2 linked regions of the Tribolium castaneum genome follow. The protein of the gene in region 1 interacts with the protein of each later gene in a pairwise test. Links are inferred from orthologs where the notes say so. Each region holds a gene or a part of one and is shown in the gene's direction. Other genes may lie near its edges. The genes, in order: ADP-ribosylation factor-like protein 3 and ADP-ribosylation factor-like protein 2-binding protein.

The links.
Region 2: the proteins of ADP-ribosylation factor-like protein 3 (region 1) and ADP-ribosylation factor-like protein 2-binding protein interact in binary tests that used the Homo sapiens proteins (3 or more experiments, as listed by UniProt). The link is inferred for Tribolium castaneum from reciprocal best matches to the Homo sapiens genes ARL3 and ARL2BP.

Annotation. Positions count from the first base shown.
Region 1 is NC_087395.1:18,690,097-18,701,471, forward strand, and holds ADP-ribosylation factor-like protein 3, read left to right. Parts: upstream 1-6,132; 5' UTR 6,133-6,256; coding exon 6,257-6,259; intron 6,260-8,409; coding exon 8,410-8,670; intron 8,671-8,720; coding exon 8,721-8,999; 3' UTR 9,000-9,139; downstream 9,140-11,375. Other genes in the region: Eip93F (mushroom body large-type Kenyon cell-specific protein 1), read left to right, coding at 771-1,090; RCC1 domain-containing protein 1, read right to left, coding at 5,090-5,253, 5,305-5,588, 5,636-6,132. UniProt on the Homo sapiens protein: Small GTP-binding protein which cycles between an inactive GDP-bound and an active GTP-bound form, and the rate of cycling is regulated by guanine nucleotide exchange factors (GEF) and GTPase-activating proteins (GAP).
Region 2 is NC_087398.1:8,839,195-8,849,049, reverse strand, and holds ADP-ribosylation factor-like protein 2-binding protein, read left to right. Parts: upstream 1-5,096; 5' UTR 5,097-5,217; coding exon 5,218-5,233; intron 5,234-5,281; coding exon 5,282-5,579; intron 5,580-5,632; coding exon 5,633-5,729; intron 5,730-5,780; coding exon 5,781-5,852; 3' UTR 5,853-5,885; downstream 5,886-9,855. Other genes in the region: Drp1 (dynamin-1-like protein), read left to right, coding at 1-59, 109-396, 449-553, 2,063-2,315, 2,372-2,583, 2,636-2,692; nesd (protein nessun dorma), read right to left, coding at 3,236-3,455, 3,502-4,988; nuclear pore complex protein Nup93, read right to left, coding at 5,886-6,005, 6,057-6,260, 6,313-6,549, 6,598-6,968, 7,017-7,230, 7,412-7,931, 7,988-8,130, 8,209-8,499 and 2 more; vari (protein PALS2), read left to right, coding at 9,744-9,855. UniProt on the Homo sapiens protein: Together with ARL2, plays a role in the nuclear translocation, retention and transcriptional activity of STAT3. May play a role as an effector of ARL2.

The DNA of each region.
Region 1 (11,375 bases):
TAGTTTTTCAACTAAGCTAAAAAATTGGATATTTTGAATTATTGTTTCTATATTAACTATAATGTCTTCAATAATTTATAAACGATTTGGCTATTTTTTTCTTTTAAGTAAATATTAGCCAGGATTTTTGGCTACTTTGTAAAGTAGGTGCTATTTTAGTTGAAACTGTGTTTTCTATTAAAATAGCCAACGGTTTGGCTAGTTTACAAACTAGCCAAGTTTACACGTTAGCCGTAACATATACAAGACATAAAATAAATAAAATAAAGGGTTGAGTCGCCAAATCCATTTATACACACTAATTAAGTAACATTTCATGTGTTTTATTTGTTAAAAGCAGTGAAGGAAGTTTTCGACTTTAAAGCTTCGATAATTGATTTAACGTTTAAAGTTGATAAAGAAACAATTTATTTACGTAAACCCAACAGTCATATAATTATTTTTTGCATTGTAGTAGCACCTTTGTTTCACGATTGGTTAATCCACAAACGTTTGCAATAATTTTGGCTGCTATGTAATTGCCCGATCAACAGGTGTTTATTTGATCGGATTTCTTTCCCGTTTTTGTTAAAAATAAAGCCACTGCAAATGCGACTTTGTCCCCAACTTTTGCAGCTTGAATAAATTAGTTAGTTAAAAAGTTGGTTTTGAGTGGCTATATGAGGAAAGGTTGGGTTTTGTGGAGATCAATTATTTCCGGGTCAGACCTCATTTGTTTGGGCTTCGTGAAGTACTTTATCGAATCGTCAAACTGTAAAAAGTTTTTCCAGCTTCGAACTCGAAAGAGGGCGACACCTCCCCCGGCGAGCTGCCCACAATCGAACTGTCGAACGATTCGAACGAATCAACGGATAAAAGACCGATGATAACGTCGCCGGAATCGGCGACGACGACTACGACATCAACAACAACAGCAACAAGCACACCACCGGCTAGGATTTATCTAAAGAAAGATCTGGCGAATCCAGACAACCTTCAGCCGGAGATGCTGATGCGCTTCCGGGACGTCCTTCCCGACTTGGAGCGTAACGGCGTCGGCGAAGGCCTCGTAACAGGAAGTGCCTCAGATAATGACGCGCCTCAAGACTGACACCTAACTATCGTAAGTGAGAGATTTTTATACAAAACGTACACACAAAAAGATGTGTGAAAATCAAAATTTCGGTGTACTATACACGATTTACGCCCCCATCCCCAGGAGAACGACGTGGTTGTAAAGTGAATATTCGAGCTCGATGACGGTGTTTGTTGATTATTTATTTTATTTTTTTGTCTTAATGTTTTTTTAGGATTTAGTGGTGAGCATCAAAGCAGTGATTTGTATATTAGGTGTTTTTTGACTCAAAACAAGATGTATTTATTACTGGGAAAAATTCATACCATTCCGGCTGGACGGCCGGGTATCACACCACGTGCCATCCCACCACCATGTGATAAATGTTGAATTTTTTGCAGGATGGGGTGATACTCGCTCGTTTCATGATACATGTTTATTGTTCATGTTCGGTGTTTTTGGCATGTACCAAAAAAAATCGTATCATCGGTGTACTCTCTATGTGTCTTCGACGTGGCGTATTATACCTCAAACTTGTATAAAGTTCATGATGTTCATGCATTCAGCTGCTTTGATGAGGACGGTTCATATATATTATATAATATCGAAAAACCCATGGGATTGTCCCAGAATTGAAAAAAAATTATATCTATCTGTGATTTATTCAAAATTTTTGATGTATATTTTCTCTAAAAATATCTTAAAATATTATAAATAATTAAAAAATTAAACAATTAGGGAGTAGTGATCGGTTGGCGAACTGAGTCGACCCGCATTCAGTTAACCGAACCGACTTTCGTTTAATTCATATGACAATGAAGTGCAATTAGATGGTATATACATAATATATATTTACATCAATATTAAGTAGTCTATAAGAATATATAAAAAGTATATTATATATTTCAAAGGAAGCTATTTTGTTCGAGAGATAAAAGATTGACTCAAGGTAGAGTTTAAACGCTTCATTCCCCCCTTCTTCAACAACCGTCAGACATACAACCAACCACTAACCAAACCGATACCGACAGTTAACCGAATCGGCGCGTCCGATTCCTCAAACCAAACAGATTTCTACAGTACACACATATTTAAGTTGGACCAATGCAGTTGTATATAATGTGGTATGCTTTACATATCGTTTGGCGCCCAGAGCGCGTCTCCACTCCCCGAAGGTGGCGCCCGAGACTCGACCTAGCCGCCAAAACCAAACATTCCAACCATATATGTGCCAGATTTTTTATTCGCGAAAATTGAACAATTTAAATGTTTAAAAACAGATTGTGATCTCGGCCTCGGGCCCTTTGATCATCTCGGAATGCATTTTTTGTTTTCGAAGAAGCTGTGAGCTTCCCAGTTCTCGTAGTCCTAAGGTTCAAAAACACTGTAATTTTAAATGTTTGTGTGTTTCACTTTTGCGCTTGCCAATTACAGTTTGGGGCGGGGCCGAGGGCGCTTTTCACCCACCGACTCGGCTCCTACCAAAAATACTCTTCGGCTTGATTGTAGTGTATCAAAATTCCGTAATTCCGCGCGATTATAGTAGAAGGAAAATTTTTCATATACAAAACAATATTCAGCAAGTGTGCCACCGATTTTTGTGCAATTTATATAGCATTTCTTGCATTTCTTATGTGATAATTTGTTACGATAAAGACACTTTCTTTGACTACGTTCGCTTTTTTCCAAATGTGCGGTCCAAAAACATAAACCTTAAAGTATACGCGTTGAATACACGATATTTTTAGTACGTAAATCTCTTACAGGCTTCAAAAGCACTATATAATCAAAAGAATAAAGTTGTTGTCATTTTTTATCATTATTTATTGTTGTTTTATTGAGCGGCACATCACGCAAAGCGGGAAACCTTGACGGATTTAGCAGCGCCCTCTTGGCGCCGCCTTTTCTCAGCGTGTTTCGTGTTTTGCCAGTGTGATCCGGGACTTTACAGATTATCTGAAACGGTACATTTGACTATTCGACAGTTCGTTTTGATAATCGATTATTATTACGTAATTTTTCCTGTTTTTATTATTTAACTTGTTTGCATGTTAAACTTTATTAAAATGGACGTACTTTTCGTTTTTTATCTTTTTTGCACCAAACGTGTCAGTATTTCGTTTATGATAAAATAAACAAGAAAAACAATAACGGACCAAGGTCTTTTTTAATTAATTGAAATAGATGTTAGATTTATCATTCCACACTATAGCTTTTTCACAACTATAAGACTTCTAATAGTTTCTATGTTATTCCTAATTATTTTTTTACAATAAACACATAATTTTAATGATTTTTTTATATCAACGTATTTGTTAATTAATTTTTAGTTGTGTAGTGTAGTGGAAATATTACTTAAGTTTTTTGCTTTACAACCGTGTATATAGTACTGTTTCAGCGCACTTGAATGTTTGTGTGCCTGCAGATTAAACTGAGAACATTTTTATTACAATTGAAACCTCTGAGCAATTTTTGTGTTAATTGGAACAACCATAATACAACAATAGTACACAATTTACCCACATTTAATCACATTGATGAAGAGCGGATTTTACGTAAAGAAAAAGTAATGAAATGATATTTTTATGTATAATGTTGTGTTTGTTATTTATGTTGCAATATGGGTGCGTCGTTTTTCATTATCAGAGCACCGCTGTATACGTAAATTGGCGTAAATTCTTCAAGTAAAAAACATTTCTGCCGACATAGAGTGTGTCGCGACTGGTTCATGCGCTAAGATACAATTTGTTCACAGACTCCCCTGTAAAACACCTTAGATTAATTGAATATACAGAGTGTATACTTAAATAGATGGTAGTTCTTACGCGTCTTTGTTGACAGTTTACAAGTACAAGAGGTTAGGTTTAAATACCCCCACACTATATAGAGTTTTTGTAAATGAGACACTAATAACCAGGTGATGGCACTTAACTAACGTAGTTTAAGATTTTACTTAGTACGTAATGTAAAAGTAGTAGTTTAAATGTAGGGCCCATGCTCTTCATCAATGTGGTAGCAAAATCAGATAGAACAGGTTCAAACAGGTCGTTTATTTATTTATTTTCACAAAAAGATGGCATATTCAAAACCACACTCTACACCACCACACAAGGTTAACGATTGGCTCTAAAACCAACACCAAAAAGTGTCTTCTATACTCGTTTCTTTGTTTGTCTAGTCGAAAATGTGCTTAAAATTGGTAGAAAAAAGTTTTATAAAAATGTGATCGGTAGTATTGATGAAGACTGAAAAAAATCAAAATTTAACCTTGGATAATTTTGAAATATGCCATGAATACGAAATTAATCTCCGTTGCACACACTGGGACCAAAAGTACTGATTCATATCCAAAATATCAAAAATTATATCAAAGAAAGATATTTTTTGTCTCGAGAAACTTTTTATTCTTATTGCTATGCTTAAAAAGTGGTGCGGATTATTAATTAGGGATGTTTTTTATTATTACGAAAAATTTGTTGAATTTTTGTAAAATGAAATGATTCCATGTTTTGACAATATGTTAGATTAAAATTTTTGACGATTAGGCCCTTTCCGGATTCGAAACGGTCTCGTTGTCGACGAAACGATTTTTTAAAAAAAGTACTCATATTATAAAATTGTGACTATAAATGCCTTTTAGCGTGAATATTATATTATATCAATTTGTTGTATTTTCACATGTAAAGGAAAAAGGCTAGACGGTCCGTTTTGTTTGTTGTTGCAAATCGTTTTTTCACTTTTTTATTATTATATTTTTTTAAGTTTTCTAGCTTTTTTCCTAAAATACAACGTGTTCTTGTTCGTAAATATCTGTGACTTGTAAATCATGTTTTATTAAAGTTAGATGTTTGAACAATTGCTTTGTGGGAAATTGTTATTTTCAGAAAATATTTTAAAAACCACAAAAATACAAAAAAATACCATACACATTGTATATTTATAATGTAATTCTGAAGTATACCAGTATTTATTATACTGTGGACTACATTAAAATGTTCATGGTTGTTTTATTTCATCCCGCCCTTCTTATCCGAGTCACCCTGTACACAACACCAGCGTATTCCAAGGACCACACTTTAGACACTTCACAACTTCCTTTGAAAAATCCCACAGGAAAATCAACTCACGAAAAACCTCATTTTCGTCGTTCTTCAACTGTTTGTATTTATTCCAACCACAGCCAAACAATTTTCCCTCATCTGAAACCACCAAACGTCACATCCAATCAAACTAAAGCACTAACCAATCACCTGTCAAAACAACTGTATGTTTATTACCACAGCCAACATTTTTAATATTAAAATCAAAATCTAAGACTTGAGGCGTTGCCATAATGGACACCCCATCATCACTTCCCCCTAAACCCAACTGTCCACTTCCGTTCCACCCCCAAACGTATAAATCCCCCTCTTTACTCAAAGCACACGAATGCCAGCCTCCTGCCTCAATAGCCTCAATTTTCACACCACCTAACGCTTCTATAAACTTAGGTTCGGATTCATCATCCAGACATCCATGCCCAAGTTGTCCGCGACTAAAAACATAAGATTACTTCCGTCCCAATTGGCCACTAGCACCCACCTTCCCCTACCAAAGCTAAAAACATTTCCGCTTTTGTCTAAAAGTAAGCAATGTTCGCGGCCCGTTTTCACCTCAATTATATCCCCGCTTACAAATTCTAACTTATTTGGCACATTGTACAAGAGTCCCTTTTTCGTTAAAGCTACACAAAGCTTGGATCCAGTCGAAATTTGAACAACGGTGTCATCGTCATCCAAACCCATCAATTTTGGCACTTTTATCACAGATTCCGTTATTTTTAACAAGTCTCCATTAGTCAAAAGCACCAAAACTTTGTCTTCGTTGCATGAAATTTGTCGAATTTTCCCTTCCACGGGAATTGTTTCATTTTTCGCGCCTCGAAACGCCACAACGTTCGCAACCAACAATACAGCGAAGTGGTAGCTAACCTCGATATTTTCCAAGTCCCGGTACACGTGATCGATAAAATTTACTACCAAGTCTTGTGGGCTGGGGAACTGGCGATGGAGGTTGAACCCATTGTAATACACTTTCATGGTATCGATTTGTTTAAGTTATTTACGTTGACAGTTTTGTGTTTGGTGTTGTCTCACAACTTTGACCCTTTTCGCAGCTATTTCCTTGCTTTTTTGACTTGACTTCGGCTGGAGGAGGTCCCAAATGGTGAGGATTTTAATAATAAATAATAAAACTACGGTTTAAATACTAATTAAAGGCGTTTTACAATAAATTTCTTATTGTAAATGACACACTTGTCAAACAATCACCATGGTTACGGCACTTTGTATACAATCGGCTAGGCAGCCAAATATACACGCGAGTGTAGTTTGGTGCATAAACTGCAGGCGCAAAAACAAATTTATCAATAGGAGTGATAAAAACAATAATCCTATTACTTATTAATGTTATTATTTATTATAATAAAACATTTTCAACAACTTTCTATAGTCGAAACATATTTTAACGACTCCTGACGATTTTATCAACCCAACTCTATCTTTTCTATTTATAATGCACCACAACTCTTGTAAATCTTGTTCTAATTCCGCACAGCATTTGGAACAGTTAAAACACTTTTATACTTTACATCGCAATATAAATGACGACATTCCTAACGAGAGTTTCAATTCAAAAGAATTTCAAAATCGAAATTATGATTTGTTTCGTCCAAAATATTGTCAAAATTGCCATTTCGTTCATTTAAAACTTCCTGCGATGAAAAATAAAATAAGCGAGATAATCGAAAAAAAAAAACGTGACGTCACAACCGCCTCTCATAGAATCCTTTTATTACTGAACCCTCTAAGTGACCAAAAAATAAAAAAATAACTCCTTTTTCTGTTCTACATTTTGTTTTCAACTTCTTGATAAATTTTATCAGTGTCACTTAAAGTCAAAAACCATTTGATTATAATATTGAACCAAATGTTCGATAGGCGGCTATGACGTCATAATTTCAACTTTAAATAACTTGATTTAGAGAGCAGATACAGAGAAACGGTTTCCACTATTGTAATTAGCGTTTTCAATATCATTTAAAACAAAGTTGTTTTTTATGTTACCAATGCCTTTAAGTTCCGGAGCGTACGTTTTTCCAGACGACCTTTTTAACTGTCGTAATAACGACTGCTATTCGTAACTAGGACTACATTCCTAAAAGTTGTGTTATACAAACTAGTAAAGTAAATTAATTGTAATTTAACCCCAGATTTATGAAATAAAAAAAATTTCATAAAAAAGGTAACTGTTTTTTTAATAGTTTATTGAAAACTTAATACTAATAAATATTTTTTTTTATTTTTTTAATAATAATTTTTAAAATCTAGTTTGTTTAAAAACAACATTGTTGACGTTTTTTCCAAAGCACTCTTCGCAAAAATGCTTTTTTCTCCATTTTGGTCAGCATATAAGATTTGACCAAATCATGTGATACATCGTTGTAATCAGGAATAAAAACATTTTTCAAAAATACATAAAGCGAATGTGTATGGTTTCAATAAGAAAAACCAGAGTTGAGCGTTGTAACTCTGATATCAACAACGCCTTGGAAAATACGATGATACATTTAGATTCCTTGTAAAAAAATGCGTCCTAGTTAAAAACGTATAGTTCTTTTGATTTTCGCTTGAAAAACTAAAAACAAAACTTACAAATTTTCGTTCTATCGGAATAATTATTCAAAAATTTAAAATAATTGAGATTCTCATGGAGGAGCTCGAAAAACGGACACTCCGTATATAAAAGTCACAAAACACTAGATCAATAAAATACAGTAGTTGTAAAACTAATCACTATTTTATTAATATTCATTAATTGTAGGTTTACAGAAATAATAATTGTGTTCTATCAAGAGACAAAATTGACATGATTCTAATCTATTTATTTTAATCCTTAACTAACTTAAAACGTTGTAATGTTTGAAGGTATGACTATACAATTTTTCAAAATTTGTAATCCGAGTTCGTTTCCGAATCTGTATTGTTGGTGGCAATTTACAGGCGCGGGCTCATAAAATTATGTGAAACACTCTGTATGAATTTTGTTCTATTACATATAACCGTTAATAATGTGATCTGACCGTTTTATATTTTTATTTAACATTTAACGTGGTAACAAGAACAGGCTACGACGCCAAAATACCTGCTCAGTTTACACAGCTGTGTAATGTGTGCTGCCTACTAATTGCTGCTCAGGGGCAAGGGGATTTATTTTTTATTGACCAATATCGTCACTTTAATTTTATACGGTTTCATAGTTTTCATACCTTATATCATTGTAGATTGGATAAAAATCAATTAATAATTAACTTTTAGGGTCTTTTGTCGCTTTTGCGGAAGCTTCGCGCCGCCCCTGAGCGCGAATTGCGTTTGCTTCTCCTGGGCTTGGACAATGCGGGCAAAACGACCATCCTCAAGACCCTGGCATCTGAAGACATTAATCACATAACACCCACAGCCGGTTTTAACATAAAGTCGGTCATATCTGAAGGTTTCAAACTGAACGTTTGGGATATAGGGGGACAGCGCAAGATCCGCCCTTACTGGAAAAACTATTTCGAAAATACCGACGTTTTGGTAATTTTCTCGCCCCCAAAAACGGCTGTTTCTAGTTTGGCTTGTTCTAGATTTATGTTGTGGATTCGTCTGATAAGAAACGTTTGGAAGAGACCGGAATCGAATTATACGAGCTTCTGACCGACGATAAACTCCAAGACGTGCCTTTGTTAGTCTACGCCAACAAACAAGATCTTCCTGAAGCTCTCACCGCCGCGGATTTGGCCCAGGCTTTGGGTTTGCCGAGTATTAAAGACCGACCCTGGCAAATCCAGGCCTGTACGGCCGTCCGAGGCGACGGTGTCAGAGAGGGCATGGAATGGGTGTGCAAAAGCATCAAAAAGAAATAAATCAAACGCAGATTCCGTCCATTCAACCCACTACACGCTATTGTTGACTTAGAAGAGTGGGAAAACTATTGTTTCAGCTAATTCGAGTGCGGTTTTATCATCAGCTTTGCAATTGTTTTTAATAAAGATTTTTTAAAAAGTGACCGGTTTTTCCTCCAGATCCCCCCAAGGCTATTCAAATCGAAGGTCATTGGCCTTTTTAGTTACACTATAATCACTCATAATCATGCACATTACCAGATGCGTGCGATATAACGGGACGCAATCTTTTCGCAATGAGAAGGAGAGAGATTTGAATTTGGCGCGCACATTTCGGACAAAGGTGGTCCTGCTTTAAATTCCGCAAACATTAAAAAAACGGGAAATCAATCCAAAAACGACTCAAAATATTCAAATACAAGAGTTCTAGAATAAGTATGTGACTCACCGGTGAACGGCGCTCGACTTTCGTGACCACAAATTTACGCTTTTTTTCAAACACACTGTATAACCTTCACTCTCACTATTGCTAAACGGTGTTACAAGGCACTTCACGTTTAGTTTTTGCCGAATATTGGACAACATCGGAGTTTTTCACTCAAAATTCTGCACTAAAATTTGCAAACGCGCGATTTTCTTTTGATTAAAGATGGAGGGTTGAAGGGCAGAAACCCGGGAAATTTGAAATTGTCGAAACCCAGATATAATTTTTTTCAAATAAATTTGTGGCCCCTTAAATAAATATACAGAGTGTTCCATTATAATACCCCTATAGGAGTACCGGAAGTTCTCGATAAAAATATTTTCAATATCTCAGCTTTTCCGGTTTTATACCGGAAGTCGGTATTAACCTATTTTAAAAGGGAAAAACGTTTTTGGGTTACTGAAGTAAGGAAGTTTTCATCAGCCTTCACTATATCTATCTAAATTTTGCCGTTTGTTGGATTTGCACCTTCCACATTAAAAATTAGAAAACTCAAAAAACTATGCCATTAAAAAAATAATTCGTTTTTGGAGATTTAATAAAAAAAGCTCATGTACATCTTTCCTTAAATAATCTCAAATTTCTAAGAAAGGTTCAAAATCCCCACTTTTTTTACATTAAGTTTACAGAAATCTATCCAAACAGTCATCACTTAGTTTCGTTTCTTCATATTAAATACTTATAATGTCCCAATTTTTTTCTATCACTGTTTGTTCTGAGGGTACAAAGCTAACTTGATTTTTTTTTAATTTCATATGTATTTTTAAAAGAACATTTTTTTGAGTTCTATGTTGTAACAATTGCATACTTTATTTTAATTAACTTAATTTAAATAATTATTAATTAACTTAAAGAATAATCTTATAAAATTTTGAAAAGTGTATAATTTTGTTAGACTTAGAAATATGTATACCTATCGTTAACTCTTTGCCGCTTGAACTTTGAGCAAGAAATAAGTAAAAGTTCATATGTAATAATAATAATTGTTAAAATAACACTTTTAACGGAAATAGAACACATTTTAATAAAAAAGTTTAAACACGAATTACATGTTTATTATGCGACAAAAAAATTTCAAAATAATTGCTATTGACCTCTTAACAATAATGAATACGTCGAATTAAATTTTGCAAAGAATCAATTACAATATTTGGAGAAATAGTGGCGATTTCGTTTCTTATTCATTCTTGTAGGTCTTCAATCGCTAATAACAGTATTTTCAAAGCTAACTTAGCTCTACTTTTTCAGATATTTAGAATTAAATTTTTATATGTTTTAACTTTTAATAAAAATAAAGGAGGCTATATGCTACATCACTGAATCCAGAAAAAAATGGTTTTTTTACAAATCATTAACTTTGGTCCTTCGTTCCATTTAAAAAAAATCAAGTCAGCTTCGTAATTTGAAAATCAATTATGGTAGAAAACTGAAAAAGATCTAAGATGATAAAATTTTACTATTTCCCAAATTTCAACGTGTTTTGTTAAAGAGTTCCGAAAATATTTAGCTGCATCCATACTTTTTAGCGTCCCTGTATTGCATTATTATTTAATACGTTCCTCAACACTTTCTTTTACTTACTAATAGTAATATTAATTCTTTTCAAGTTATATCAACTTTCTGTTAACATTGAGAAATTCATTAGCCATAGCTCTTTTTCCATCTGTTGCCTTGGAAACAAGAGAAAAATAAAAAAAAGTCAAAGCTATTCAAACCTAAATTGTGAACAAAACTTGCCGAATTGTTTACATTTGGAAAAATTCTTTTATTAAATTTCTCTAAACTCAACCTTAAGGTAATTTTGAAGTCTGTTAACTTTTTTCCAATTTTGCAGACAATTTAGGGAAGATGTAAGTATTGTCTTTAAAAAAACCTTATTTATTTTCAAATAGCTAAATTTAAGTATAAGAAAA
Region 2 (9,855 bases), on another chromosome or scaffold:
AAGAACCATCACTGCGTTGCGTTGAATTAATCCACGAAGAAATGCAACGTATTATACAAGTAATTAATAACGTTTTCCCCAAAGTTGTGCTTCAGTGTCCGTTTTTAGCATTGTGGAAGCGAAGTGCAGCAAGAAATGCTGCGGTTTCCCAAACTGTACGAAAAAATCGTAGATGTTGTAACACAGTTATTGCGGAGACGTCTTCCGACGACCAACCAAATGGTGGAAAATTTAGTGCAAATCGAATTGGCGTATATTAATACCAAACATCCCGATTTTTATAAAGAAATAGCAATGGTGCCATCGATGATTAAATCCGGGGACGGATCTCGTCCAAATCGACCAAAGAGTATGCTAATCAAACACCATAATACAGTGGCGGAGACTTCCGAGTTGGTATGTTTTAATGTTTTGTAAATTTTTGCACAATTTTAGTTGTTTTCTATAGATTGCACGTGGTGCTGTAGAAGCATCTGACCAAGCCGATTTCTTTAATTATCTCTTTCGAATATTGCCCGTGTCTAGTTATAATGACTTCATGAACGCTGTTCAGGTATATATTTTATTAGTTGCAAAACTAATACCAAATACGTGTGTGACGTTTTTCATCGCAAATCATAATCTCGCGAATTAAGTAAATCCATTCTAAAAATAACATTATTAGAGTTTTCGAATGTGTCATAAATATTCACGATTTCACAACGTTCAAAAAATTATCAATGCAATTAAATTTTTGTAAAACGTGTTTCAATTAAAACAAATGTTTTTTAGAGATCGAGTTTTATACATTTAAAAAATTATGGATTTAAGATACGAACTTTTTAATAAGTTCCAATGATTTAGATGTTTCCATTTATATAATAACTGAAAAGAAATCTTGTTTAGTGTCTTATGACTTTATTATACTTTTTACATGTGGTATATAAGAATTAATAATAATTAGTAAATAATTTGCATTACTTGAGTCCTAATTTTTAAAAAGAGACTAAGAATTCAATGCAAATACTGATTTGTATTTAAGATACATTTCTTCTTTAGCCTTAAATTATTTGTCGTGTATGTAATTGATTATCCGGAAAATGGACATCTTGGAAAGCCATATTAAAGTAAAAAAGAAGAATAAAACACAAAGAAAATTATCTTATTTGTTACAAAATTGAAATATTTTGCAGTGACATTACTGCTTTATGTAGAAAACTAACAATTACTAACATATTTTGCTAACTTTTTTTAAGTCAATAACATTAGTGCTGTCTTAATTTGAATACACACTGTAGGGTATTCCCAGTTTTACACAGTACGTGAAAAAATCACAGACATACACTTCATTTAGCGGTCAACAGAAAAAATTAAATATTTTTTTTGTCAAAATATTTAAAACTAATGTCTACACTTTTCTAATTTCGATTTTGTAAACAGTTGTTTAGTTTGTTACTTACTTAACACATCTTATTACTTTGGAATAAGAAGGAAATAATTAAAATACACTCACCTTTTGACAAAATCAGTATGTGTGCTTTTAAATTTCCTTTATTTCTCCCCGTAGATACATTCCTTTGGCACACATTAACTACTCGAATGTTTAAAAACCGCGCACTAATAAATGCCTGTTTTAAGCACCCGAAAATTCGCAATATGCATTAAAGATAGTTTTATATTTTGAAAATCATAATTAGAAATATGTTGATTTTTATTTAATTTTAATAAAGTTATTCGGCGTCCGTTCACAACAAGAAGTAACAAACTGAATAAAATTATGCAGCACACCAATGTGTAAATATCGATAGATCAACAAAAAATATTGTAATCTGTTTACGTATTAATTATTGTTTTTTCTGTTACATTACTTTGTTGGGGACCTAAAATATACAGGGATCAGAGAGATTTTAGTTAAAACCGCCATCCTGTCGTCCTTGGTTTCCTACTTGCGAAATATATTTTTTTTTTTTTTTAAATTACGAAAGTTGTAAGGCACTTTTTTGCGTAGAATTTAACAACGTAGTCACCGATTTTGTTGTGCTTACAACTAGGGTGTGTGATTATTTGCGAAAATGTCTTTCAGGTGCGTTCTTCGAGCAACCCTCACTTGAATGAAGATGCGACAACTTGGGTGTCTAATTTAACCTCCTCCCAAAACGGAACGGATACCGCTCTGACGAATCACATCAGCGGTGTGCCCGAAAGCGTAAAAAATGAGGAGATAAAATCAGTTCTTAGTCCTGTGAAACCTGTCAATTTGTTACCACAAGTTCCAATCAACAGCAGTTCGTTCAGAAAGCTTTCTGAGAATGAGGAACACGACTGTGAAATTATTGGTATTTATTTATTTGTTTTTTTTTCAGTGTTAGGGATTCTATCTAATATTTTGCAGAACGCTTGATTAAATCGTATTTCTACATCGTTCGTAAATCAATTCAGGATACAGTCCCGAAGGCGGTAATGCATTTCTTAGTGAATTTTGTTAAAGACAATTTGCAATCCGAGTTAGTGACACATTTGTATAAAGCTGACAATGCTGATCAGTTGTTGGACGAGTCTGAGCACATTGCTCAGAGACGCAAAGAAGCCGCAGATATGTTAAAAGTGAGTTGCTCCAGCTTTGTAAGACTGGTTTGCTGTAACAATTATGTTTCAGGCACTTCAAAAAGCTGCACACATCATTAGCGAAATTAGAGAAACACACATGTGGTAAACTTGCAGCCATATTCTCCCTAGTCAAGAGTAAGCGTGTACTGGCCCTCGATGTTAAAGCTGTATTTAATCTTTACTTAAAAGGATAAGAGTAACACTGAACGATTTCGGAATGTCTTGTTCAAAAACTTCATAAAGCGAAAACGGATATTTGTTGAAGTTTTATAAAAATTTAATTACCTTCCTGTAAATAATTGTACAATTTTTATCAATTCTGACATCTTTGTAAAGTTCATCGATTCTCATTTTGGTCTGATATTAGACTTGTTACTCTCTTTTTAGTTGGTGCATTACTGTAGAAATCACTTTTTGATGTTACACGCGCCATAGTTGTATTTCCTCGTATTTCAATATTTTTGATGCATTTTTGTTCTAGCCTAGTTGCGCATCAATAAATTATTGATTTGGTACAAATTTTCTTAAACCCGACAGTCAGCAGTAACAAAATGTATTTAAACAAAAATCAACAATCATGTAATAGTGGATTAACATAAATAGGCTATTCGAGTATTATAAGAGAAAGCAAAAGATAATAAACAAGCTATCAAATTGTAGCAGGAGAGCTTCTCCCGTCGCAGTTATTCTCAATCACAGTGGTTTGAAGAGTGTCCATTTCTTCATCAGAATCAACACAAATCGTCGGATCGGAATCGGGGTTCTCGAACAAGTTTTCAATCGGTTTCAACTTAGATTTCTGGTTGATAACAGCGTCGCCTTTCGCATTATTGTCCCCGCTTATAAATTCCATTTGCAGTTGTGGAATTCTGGAAATTAAAATTAAAATTGCACCAACTGTGAGAAATATCTTACATGTTTAACGTATCAAAATCGCCAACTTTTTGATGACTATCATCAATATTATTCTCAGTTTCGACGCAAATCCCGTATTCTTTGCAATTCTGAATTGCCACTTTTGTCGCTTTCACGCAACAGTTATCGTAGATTTTCAGACCTAAATTGCAGTTGTGAATTTCGGTGCTCTCCATGGTTACGTTGGACCCCGAATTGCCGACAATTGCGGTACTAAAGTGACTAATTTCGCAGTTTATTGTTTGCAAATTCGCTCCATTCAATATGAGGATTCCCTGATGAGTTGATGATTTTCCATCCCCATATATTCGACAGTTGATTAAGGTAAGTTGGCCCCCGCGGACGATTATTCCACACTGAGGGGACGACGCGTCAATGGTCATATTTTCAATAACGACGTTCCCGCCTCTAAAATCCAGCATCACGTCCTCTGTTTTGGAGCTTAATATTGTGTTTTCTGTCGCGGAGACTCCTTTTAACAGCCCCCCATGTTCCAGTGCCCCAGTGACTGTGATCATGTGTTTGCCTTCTTTCACAATGAATACATCATTTGGATTGGCATAATCTAAAGTTGAGGATAACTGTGGCGAAAACCTTACAATCTCAGTTGGGTACGAGGCTTTAATTTTTTGTAAGAACTCAATGCTGTCATCTAGCGTATTTTCGGCTTGAATCACCCAAATGTTCTGTTTGGTGTCATCGTGAGCTGGAACCATCTCTTTCTGTTTCTTGATGACAACCTTCCTGAGCATTGGGTTCTCTAAAATGTCCATTTCTCCTTTAATTTCCATCAGACGAATGTGGAGCTCCGACAACTGTTCAACCGTGGGGTCGTTGACAGCAGCATTATCCCCATCACAGCTCTCCAAATCGTCAAGTTCAGACTCCAGTTGCTCCCTTTTCTGCTCCAGTCTCTTGGCTTCACTCATCAGGGAGTGCAAGCGCTCGGCGGTGACCCGTGGTATCACCCCGTTTTTCAGGTCATAGTACAGCCTCAAGCGGGGCTCCAGATGCTTGCTTTTCCAGTCACCCTCATCATCCTCTTCGAAATCCCACGGCATGACCAAATTGTGATAGAAAAACCGCAGCATGTCCAGCACGTTCGCAGTGGAGTGCAAGTTAATGGCAACGCTCTTATCTTGCGCTTTCGTGGGCCACAGCTGGATCAGGGGCACCCAGTGCTTCTCAGGAATGTGGATGTCGTCCTGGACAGCCAAGACCTTGACCAGCGCTGTCATCTCCTTGAAACTCACGTCCAGGACGAAAACCAGCACCACCGTCGGAAAGGCGATATTGAGGGCCTCGCAGGTTTTGCGCTGGATTTTCCAAACCGCCTGCCACCCGTTCGGATCCAGGGTTAAGTCCAGGTAGAAGCCCCACTCGTTAGCGATGGCAGAGGCCGGCAGAACTTCATAGCCCCCAAGCACCTCATTGTATTCTTGCAAACGCTGTTGCAGGCTTTTATCAAACGTTATCACCTGGTCCATTTTACTCAACGCTTGAAATTTTTTCACGTTTTAACTTTTAACGGCTACAAATTTTAAATTTGTGTCACTGCTCTGGTGACAAACCAAACAATCCCTAGCAAAAACGTGGTGGGGTTCGAGTCACTATGGTAACCATGTAAACAACAATGTAAAAAAATGTCAAATTATTTGTGATCAATTCCATGTTGTGTTGAGTTGAACGTCCTTAAAAATACAAAAGGCCCAAAAAATGGCACAGGAGCAATGTTGGTCGTTTCATTTTGTGGATGCTGGGAATAATTTGATTGCTTTAGGTTTGTTTGAGGGTTCGGATGATTTGGATATTTCACATCATTGTCAAGACGTTGAGGAAAAGTACTTTGCCCAGGTTGTGGGGCACATTGAAGACATTCTCCTTGATGATAGCTTTCTCAAAATACATAAAGATTTCATGGAAGAATACTGGACGGAATTTGAGGAAAGTGACGAAAATAAACTCGTTTACACCGACATATTTAAAAAGTACGTGGAAACGATAGAGAAGTTTTTAGAAACTGAATTGAAAAAGAAGATTCCAAATTTCAGTATGTTGGAGTTCGAGTACGAGTTAAGGTAAAACACACTGGACAGTTTTGGCATTAGTGGGATATTTTGTAATATTCCAGAAAACGACCCAATGAACTTGTAGGGGAGGTTTTTGAAATTTTATCAACTTTCACAGACTTTGTTTCCTTTAAAGAAAAATTTTTAGATTACAAAGCGGTGTGTTCACATTGTCTTCACTTAAAACCCTCTTAAATGTCTTAATTTCAGATGAAGGAAGGCAAGACGGTAGATTTTTCTAAGGATCTTTACGTAATACAGTATAAATTAGAAACTTTGTAACTTTATTGAACGAAATGTTTAATATAAAAAACCTTAATGCATTAATATTTCCATTTGAACCAATTTACTATTTGTGTCTCCTGGCATTCTGTAAGGCAACATTCCAGTGAAATTAATCAAGATTTTTGCCTGTTCCCTTAAATGTGACAATTGCTGAAATACAATAAAAACAATCATAAGTTATTTGAATAGTTATTGGCTTACTTTCTCAATGGTGTTGTCGTTAAACCTGCTTGGAATATATTCATTTCCTTTAATCTTCTGATAATCAGCAAACAACATATTCATTGTAGCCAAAAGCACATCAGGAATCACTTTGCAGACGTCAACGTTCAGTTTTTTGAACGCCTTTACACGTTCTTCCACCTCTTGTGGTTGACGAGGGATTATTTGAAGGTCGCTCAGAGTCTACAGTTACAAAAAAATAGAAAAAACATCACAAAAAACATTCAATTGTTACTTTTAATGCCAACGAAAACTGTTTGGAATGATACTGATCGAAAAATACTGCAAGTTGTTTCAGTTTAATGTAGGATGTAACAATATTGGATGACGCTTTGTAGCCTTCTCTCGTGTATCTGTCGCTCAAAATATTTCCCTTCTCCAACAATCTCTCCTTCAGAGAGTTTGGTTGAGAAGGCAAATGAACCACTTGTGACAGCAAAGTGCAAAATAAATTCAAAACCTCCTCTTGATTCTGTAAAAAAATATTAACACGATATTTGTTTATTAAAGTATCACTCACATCAGCCAAATCAAACACATCTATTGCTTCCTCGAATAATCCCTTCTTTACCAAAGAATCGCCAATCATTTGAGCAATGTTTTCCGCACTGATTTCAGCGTTAGTAAACTGGTCGATCAGCCCTTTGGTTCTTATATCATTGGGCTGAATGACCCCCAAAATCTTGTTGTACTCCTTGGTTTCAATAGCCAGATCACACACACAAATCTTGAACAAATTCACTCCATCCTCATTGGTAAAATTGCGCAAGATATAAAAGTAGTGCAACGCCTCATTAGGACAAGTTATTTCAAATTTGCGAACATAAATCATAATTAAACGCGCCAGGTTCAAGCGGCGACTTGGTTTCACATCCATTGGGTCAATACTAACTAATAAAAATCATAAGTAAACAAACAATCGCAAAAACTTTTACATACTAAGTGGTGCTGAACTGTCCCGTGAGCCAGCCAATAAGTACAACTCGTTCAAGGCAATGGCCATATGGACAGCATGAACTCGGTACCTCTCAATTCGGGGCAAAAATTCAATAGCGGCCTCAAATTGACCGGTTAATGCGAGCACTTGGAAATATAAGTGGGGTTGGTTCATGGCGTCATAATGAGCTTCACCATACTCTTCCAAAATCATCCGCTAAGGAATAGTGTATTACGTAATGTGGGAAACACATACGAGCGTTAACAACTAAATGTTACGTAAAAATTGAAAACAAATAACTTTTTCTTGAAAGTATTGGACATAGTAATGCAAATAACAATAATTGTTGCATACAATAACTAATAAACGTGTTGGGTAAAGTAAATAGTGTACACACCTGCAGGTCGTTGTACTTAATGTGGTCGTCCTTTTCGTAATCAGCTCTCACTAAGCTCAATTTCAACCATAAATAATCGTCCGCGGTTCTGGCGACTTCCGAATGCTCATCAACGACATCGCAACAGCCAAGCACCGCACAGACGATACGCTTAAAAGGGTCAGTTTCGTTACGTACATGTCTGCGATAATTGTAGCGCACATTATCCTCCAGTTTGTAAATATCTGGACTGTCAGGATTATTGAGTTTTGCTTCCAAAATAGCAACAATGTCTTGAAACTCTTTTTCGTTTTTCTTCTTTAGACAATAAATTGCTGCTGCTAAATCTCCGCTCCTTATACAGTAGTAGACCATGGGCCATAAAGGCCTTCCATCGATTTTGTCATCTTTCAAGCCCGAATATTCGCCTTGGAGGCGAACACCGACGTAACTGCGGACTAAGGGATAAGTTCCGGGAACTCCCCCAAGCATCGCAGTTGATAGGTTTTCGTTAATGATGTTACTCATATACGTCTTATATCTAGAATTATTTACCTAATTGTGGTCTTTTTTCATTGAATTAGAAAAATAAATTACCGATCTTCCAGATATTTCTTGCCTTGTTTCACCAAAGCGTTTATGAAAGGGGCAGAATTTCGAGTTTTAATCTGATCCTCTGACTGAGGAAACGGCGGCAACTGAGTCATGTATTTCATTATTTCCCACATGTCTTTAACTTTCTGAAATTTTTAAGCTTAAGAACGACTGTATGTTGTCATTAAAATTTTGTCTGATATCAAAATGAGGCAAAAACTTACGGCGTCTCTCAAGTCATTTGCCACGCTGATGAAGCTGTTTATGAGACTTGGCTTCTGAATGCTCCTGCCAATTGCTTGATTGTATTCCATAATCTTGGCGGCATAGAGAGTCTCTGCCACTCCTAAGTTGGGGGTAATAGAAATAGGCCTCTCCATAAAAACGGATGAATATTTTCCAATTTCTATGAAAGCCCCAGATGGTCCCAGCATCGAATTTAGGATTTTTCGTTTTTCTTGTTTCCATTCGCCAGTTTGGTGTTCCCAAGAGCAGTCGGAAATTGTTTTCATGCACTACAATATGTAATTATGCGTATGTACACTTTGGGAACCACGTATGGATTACTTTATTGAAACCGTTTTCAAATACACTCAAAATGCAGTTTTGGATTTCATTTTCAAGAATTCCGACTGCATTTACGTCCTCAACCGGCTCAATGGATTCGAATGTGCGCTTGGTACTAATTGATTCCAATTTTTGTATTATTTTTGGCAAGTCTACGCCTTTTGATCCTAACAATAAATTCCTGAAATTTGTTACGTCCACGTTATATTTAATTCTGTTAACAGTGAATAAGTCAAAGACATACGCTTGAATGTCCTTTGCTCCAGTTTGAGCCACTTTTGAATATAAATCGTTAGAAGCTTCCAAGACCTGCCGAATAGATCTATCAACTTTTGGCAGTTCTTTACTCCCTTCAATGTCAACAGTGATTTTTTCAGCCTCCTGGAGGAGGTCGGCAAAGTCGCCCATGTTGATATTTCTAAAAATGTTGGAAAAAATAATCAAAAACAAGAAACTAAAAGTTGGGTTAGGACAACAATATAACCTTCAAAAATACATAAAATTGATGTATTTCATAACAAGAAGCAATTTATCGGCAAAAACCTACTTGAATTGATGTTCAAACACACAATTTAAAACGTATTTTCGTGAACTTTTGTAATTCTTGTAAAAAATGCCGCTACAAACATGCAACGGTTAAAAACGATGCTGCTTATGTAACCCAAAATACACTTTTTCAGCTAGTTTCAGCACATATAGGCAACCCAAAATTTACGATTTCAGTTTCAGTGATTCTGATTGCCGACGCACTGAAACTGAACAAATCCCCAAGTTCGTTTTGTTTTTCAGTTTTCGGAATCATATCTTCTAATGTATATTTCTTAGTTTTGTTTTCGTATAATACAACTAAATTTTTATCGATTTATTGTAACATAAACCGTAAACATAAAATAGAGCGTCGATGTCGTGCTGGAAATCACTTTGAAAGCTGTTCCAGCTTTATCGATAATTCGTCCAGATAGCAAGGTAATGCGTGGGTGAAGCTTCACCTGACGCTTTTTCCAGTTGCGAGTTCGTTCTTTCTATTATTAACGCCGTACTCTGATGAAACAGACGTCGCGAAATTGAAATGTTTTGTTAATAGAATGGCTTAACATCCTTAAAACGTGTATTCTTTCTTTATCGATTATTTATTAAGTAACATTTATAAATAGCAGAATAGACTTGTATTGTGCTGTAAAGTTTTTTAACGATGGTGCGCACCTGTTATGCAATTAAATGGGGATGTAGACCTTTCATTAAGAATCACCAACCGGCATTTCAGTGTAAAAGGGTTGTGAAAAGAAGCTGCACTTCTACGGATT